Linked DNA regions of Drosophila melanogaster. The protein of the gene in region 2 interacts with the protein of the main gene of each other region in a pairwise test. Each region holds a gene or a part of one and is shown on either strand. Other genes may lie near its edges.

Region 1 (3,020 bases), about 18 Mb from region 2:
TCGATGTAGATCATGGTAAAGTGCATTTAGTCATTAGGCTAATGAAGTTAAGGCTCTAGGATCGAGGTGAAAAATAACTTATCCACTTTTCTGCCCCCCTTTTGCGGTGTCTCGAATTGATGGCTGCGACAGTAGTGCTCTATATCCTGCCACAACTGTTCATGAAGTTATCTCGAGTGAATAGTTTCGTCCTGCACCGGTGGATAGATGGATTGGCATCGATGTCCTGGCCTCCCGAGAGGCGCCCGTGTGACTTTACCAAGTTATCTGCTTGGTTTTTGCCTCGCCCACTGCTCATAATGCACTTTGCATGTAAAATATTTAATTAAATGAAAAATAGCAAAGCCCAGAGGAGGAACCTCCACTTCGGTGGCCGTGGCATCCGTATCCCTACATGCTCGCATCCTGGCGAGGCCGCAAAAAAGTTTATTTGTTTCGTGGCTGCCTCAGTCAGTCTTCATTTATTGTAAATGAGTTTGCCCGGACAGGATGCCGGGTTTCGTGGGGTAAAGGATCCATGCATATCGTATATGTATGCATGCGGGCCAAAGGATGCATATCGAATAAGAGTGCTCCGCACGCAAGTGACATTCCAATTCAATTGCGATTCCCAATGCAAATAATTTGCAACTGAATGCTATTAATGACGAAATGCTGGTGTGCGAAATCGAGACTATGCCGAGTATTTTAATAACATTTACTGAACACTCTGCCTGAAAATAATTGCCAGCGGAATGAGCTTGGGCCTGGAATATTGTGCTCTAGTCGCACGGGCTCTGGATCACCATGATGAAGTAATCTTCCTGCGGGCACAGCATCACCTCATTCTGCTCAGTCCGCAGCCGCAGGAAGGTGAATTCGTTGGTGGCGTCCAGATCCAGGACCACCTGGCGAGCCTTCTCCCGCACCGTTTGCATCAGTGCCGCGTAGTGGAGTGTCAGAGTGTAGTCCAGGGTCGTTTTGATCGGAATGCCGTCGTTGTCCACCACAACTATGCCGGTGACGTTCTTCATGGACTGAAAGCGCTTCAATAGTTCCTCCACTTCGGCGGACATCCTTGCGTCTATTCGATTACCTTATTAGAGAAATTTCGATGCAAAGAAGGTGTTCGTTCTGCTACTACAATACAACCATACATGCAAATGAATGAAAGCTCCGGGCATACTTGAAGTAACTCACTCACTTCACTAAATATATTTTCAAATTTAATCAGACTACTCGTTAGCATAGTTCACAATAGTTTAATACTAAGAAATATTCCCCATATTACAACTAACTTTGCATATTTCCATTTGATATCCGTATAATTGAGGCTGCTTTGTCATCTGTCGGGTTCATTTCATTTGCCAGTTTAACGAGTCGATACAAGTTTTATGATGTTCGGCATAATCCGGGAGATTCTGGCGCTGTTGTGTCCGTAAATAAGCATTCAAGTTGGCAACAATGCCGGATGTCGGACTGCAAAAGTTTCGCTTTTGTGGATGGCAGAAGTACGGAAAATTAATTGAATGCTGTTGATGCTGCCAGTGCCCCTGCCTTGGCTCCTGATCCGGATTCCGATTCCGATTCTGTTCCTGTTCTGGCTCCTGCTCTCCGGACCACTCGAAATGCAGATGCAGATGAAATGTTTGCATCAAGTTCGAGGCGGTGCGGAAATTATGCCACTCTTCCGGTTCGTCCAGACTACGCCAGACAAAAGCCGGACTACTGAGGACTACGGAATGCAATGCGGACTCCGGCCGGAGTTGTTATGAAAAAGAGTGCAAAATTGTTCACTTTTTAAATTAATTAAAAGTCTTAAAACTCATAATGAAATTACTCAAACGGGCAGAGGGCAGGCGGACATACAGATACGTAAAAGGATTTGGCCAGTGTATATGCAAATTGCTGGCCAGACTTGGGGGAAATTAAACTTCTTATTCGACTTTTGGCCGGCAAGGAAATTCATTTGGTAATTAAATCAATGTCCATGTGAAAAACCTCAAATGCAATTTGTCATGCAATGCCGGAGAATTGAAAATGCGGAAAATGCGCTTCTAACTGCGTTAAATGGGGCTGGAAATGGGCGGGAAAATGTGAAGACCGACTATGCATTTTATTGCATATTTGTTGAATAAATAGTTAGTTTTGCACGGTGGGCGAACATAAAAAAAAGCAACACAAATATCCCAACTCCAATCCAACAGGACTCGGAGTCACAGCCAGAACCAGAGTCCTTGATCCTGTTTGGCTGTTGACTCTCGCTCACCAAACTAAAGCTGAAACATTTACAAATGTTTTTGCAATCTGCAATATGCAACCAGCAAACACACTCGCTTTTCAGTGGCTACAAAGTCAGGTGGAACACAAAAACATGTTTTTGGCGGACAAAGCAATTTGGCCAGTCTGTTGGCGATTGGTGTATTTGTTTAATGGGAAAATATGCTGCAATGTACGTAATTTGATATTTATGAAAACAAGTTTGTCCTTCGCATTTAATAATAATTCGAGTGCGTTATTTATGCATACAATTCGGTCCGACATAAATCACATTAAATTTTCCCGGCCCTTCCGACACTCGGCTTTAAAATGTTGCCAAAGAAATACTTTGGCACTGACATTCGAGCGATTTAAGTGTGCGCGCAAATACATTTTATTTCGATGATATTTGACTCGTTTAATGAATCCGTAATTAATTGCCAATTAATTCATTTTTTTTTTTATCAGTTTATCATTCATCTGGCACTTCCTCCGCTTTGTCACCTCTCACATCCTGCATTCGTTGCATTTGCATAAGGCCGTTTAATAAATCATAATTTGTTAATCAACGAATCGTTGGCCGTATTTGGACACTCTTGCAAATATTTCAACAATGCCGCAAGGTGATAATGAGATCAACAGAACAGGACCAACATGCCAACCGATCCAGAGGCCTTCGATTTCAAGTGGCAAATTCGAGTAAGTGAATTACGAGCCAGGACAAGTTAATGAGAATCGTATTTCATTTGCAATTAGCAAGGAGCACACGCAGCCATTACATT
Region 2 (3,490 bases):
TAGTTATTACTAAGCTAGTATTACTAGTATCTAGATAGTGCATTATATCAATATATACACATATATGTATCTTTCGAGAGCTTCCAGCAACGAGTTTCCGGCCCTGTTAATATTGATTATAATCAATCTCGTTGACCATACTTTCATTTCGCAGAGCCCGTGGCCATTTTTATTGCATCCACAATTCGGCTGACCACATTTTAGCTTCATTTACAGTTATTTGGCCGGCCCCCACCTGCACAGATACTGTCACACCACCGGCCGCCGACTAAATGCCTACGCCAACAGCTACGCCCACGGCCACACCCACGCCCACTGCCACGCCCCGCAGGCAAAACCGCAAATTCAATTTTGGTTTAGAGCCTACAAACATTTTGCAGCGTGTTTATGTCCGGCTGCATTGTTGCGAGTAGTTTTCGCTCCTGGCCCGCTTTTAATGCAATTTATGGGAAGTGTTTGCCCCGGATTCGGTTGCCACTGACCACAAAGCGATCTTTTGTGATATGGAGAGTGGATGTGGATGTAGGCGCGGGGCATGGGGTATGGGGCATGCGGCATGTGGCATGGGTGGGTTAAAATAGTGGTCGCGGTCTCTAGTTGGGTTTTCATTAAAGCATGACCGGTTGCCAACTGACAGTTCTTAGTGGCCATGTCCGCATCATAATCGTCAATCGAACTTTGGACAAATTTGCAATTTTGCAGATTGCGGATGCGAGTCCATATGGTCGCATTTCTATCTAGATCAGGCAATAAGGCTAAATTTTAGTTTACAGATTAATGAAGCAAAGAAAAAAGTAAAATTTCTATTAACTGAACATATAAATATGTTTTTTTTTATTACATCAATGCTAGTGCTTCCTTTTACCGAAAACCTATTGAATACGCTAAAAAATTGGAATAGTCGCAAGCGGAAGTCGTCCAAAAAAATCCTTAAGAATTTTGGAACCAGTTTTTCTACTTGTCGTATCGAACCAGGCGCGTGTCGTCGCCGACCTCCTCCAGATCCTTTGGATCGCGGCGGAAGCGATAAGTGCCGACATCCTGGTTGGCCGATTCCGGCAACGTCACCTTGATGCCCTTGTACTCGGTTCGACCTTCCCTGACCTCCGGCACCCGCAGCTCCATCTCGGCCTTGTACTCGTCATCGTTACCAATGTCCACGTCCTGGACGTTCTTTTGCACGGTGGGATCCTCCTCGTCCTGGTTCCAGCCATCAATCTCGATGGGGACAATGGGGTTGCCGTCGACGCCTACGACGGAACTAGGTGCGCCAGTAGGCAGGATCTCCACGGTATCTCCAGAAATCGGATTCTCTGCTGGTGGCGACTCAACTGCATCCGCGTCCACTATGTTGGTCACCTCTTTGAATGGAGTATGGTCCATCAATGTCAGCGAATTGACGAAATTGCGATTAAACTCTACGTCAGTCTTGGCCATCTCATTTATATTGATATCTATCACGGTCACGCCATCGATGTTCCGCGGACGGTCAATGGTGAGGCAAGTAAGACCAGTAGACATTTTGGAGTGCAAGGTCGAGCGGGCCACACGGACACGGTGCAGCGCCAGCTGATTCCTCAGCATCGAAAGATTGCGAAACATGGTTTTTGTCGGTGTTTCGAGTGCGGAAACTAACTACCCAACAGAACAAAAACCGAAGTTAAATTTAAAAAACGTTCTTATTTACAAACAAAAATTGGAAGGTCTTATGTTGCCGAAATTTTAGATATGACTAAAATTCCCAGCTAAACCCGACAACTGACAAATCTCGATTGTGAAGGAAGTTAAAGGCCAGGCTACACTGGTTACTGATAATTACTGAAATTGAAATATAAATGAAATCACTATCGCCGTATCAATATCTTTATTGGTGCATTTTATGTGAAGTACACAAGCGTTTAAACATATTCTTTTGTCACCCTCTTATACCTATTGACAACTCGAACATTCCAATTCCAATTCCAATTCCAACAAATACTATATACTCGTTTTATACCTAAATTTCGGTAGGGTAACAATCAAGAAGTTTATAGATTTATACCTAAAATAGTACATAAAACAATTCTTCCATCCTTAATTCATATTAGCTCACTCCGTAGATCTAACTACCTTTTACATAAGGTAGCGAACAAATTTTAGGTTTTAACGTTTTCGCTTAGGGGCACTTCCGGTTGCCCTTCGCACCTTCCGCTTGCCAGACGTGGAGGTTTCTGATTTCTCCTCGAAAGACGACTCCTCCTCCTTGCCAGTGCGCACCTCCCGATTTACTTTGTAGGCGGCGCCCATTCTCTTAATGTTCTCCTTGTGCACCACTTCGTGTTTAACAATCCGGTGGGGATAATCCGTGCCGAGGACGCAGCCGTATGCCCGCTGATCCACCAGCGACGCCTTCCAGGGCTCATAAATACAGCCAGCAGGATATTTTGAGAGTTCCGGCACATACTTCCTGATATAGTGCCCTTGGGGATCCGTTTTCTTGCCAAACGCCACCGGACTGTAGACGCGAAAATACTGGTGAAAGAAAGCGGACGCAGATAGCCACATCCAGTTGCCAGCGTTTAGTGCCCAGTCCTGATCCAGCAGCAGCTGCTCGAACACCCGCTGTCCCTCCTCCCAACTGATCCAGAGGTCTCCGCGCGTTAAGAAACATGCCACTGCATGCCGGGCCAGATGATGGATCCAACCCTCCTGGCGCAGCTGACGCATGATGGCGTCGATGAAAGGATATCCTGTGCGTCCGTGTGTCCAGGCCTCCAAGTGATCTGGATGCTCCTGCCACGGAATTTGCATGCAGTATACATTGCCCAACATTCGATCGAAATTGGGTTCCGCAGCCGCCACTGTGTAGTAAAATTCCCTCCACATGAGTTGTCCAATGAGCGAAACGGGCGGCTGCGAGTGCTTCGGCTGGCGTTTGATAATTTCCTTGAGCTTTTGATTGAACAGTCGGGCACTAAGGCATCCAAATTTGAGGTAAGGGCTTAGTACGGTAGTGCTAGGCTCCAGCGAGTTGGGTGCCGTGTTGGGCTTCTCAAAGCGGGCAACCCAAATTTCATCCTTTAGGGATTCCTCCATGCGGCGCAGTGCCTCTGTTTCGCCTGTTTGATAAAAAGAAATCCACATTGTTGTAGTTGTGATCAAGAGTTTAACTATGTTTTTACCTCCCGGAAACTTATTAGGGCCCAGTTCCTCCGGGCGTTTTACTAATTGCTTCATCGTAGGACAATCATAGGCCGCCGAATCCTTTTGCTCCACCTCATCTTTGGGTGGTGTAGGCATGTTTTTAAGCTTTTCAGGAACCCCTAGAACTTTAGGTACCTTTAGTTGCTCCACAATGCCCAGGAACTTTTGATAGGTAATTGGAGCCTTGCCAAGATTCTTCGCTATTACTAATTCCGGATTATAAATCGTGTGGGAGCAATGAGTTTCCACTCTCACACCCTCTGCCTTGGCCAACTTCTGCACGGCAGCATCCCGGGTCACGGAGTAC

What was found.
Region 1: the proteins of CG17470 (region 2) and robl22E interact in a two-hybrid assay, tested with the Drosophila melanogaster proteins (one large-scale study listed by BioGRID).

Annotation. Positions count from the first base shown.
Region 1 is NT_033779.5:2,289,568-2,292,587, forward strand, and holds robl22E (robl22E), read right to left. Parts: upstream 1,172-3,020; 5' UTR 1,137-1,171; intron 1,132-1,136; exon of another isoform or gene 1,076-1,131; 5' UTR 1,056-1,075; coding exon 762-1,055; 3' UTR 657-761; downstream 1-656.
Region 2 is NT_033779.5:20,641,503-20,644,992, forward strand, and holds CG17470 (uncharacterized protein), read right to left. Parts: upstream 1,743-3,490; 5' UTR 1,603-1,742; coding exon 955-1,602; 3' UTR 804-954; downstream 1-803. Other genes in the region: Sfp38D (seminal fluid protein 38D), read left to right, coding at 1-13; phr6-4 ((6-4)-photolyase), read right to left, coding at 2,143-3,098, 3,162-3,490.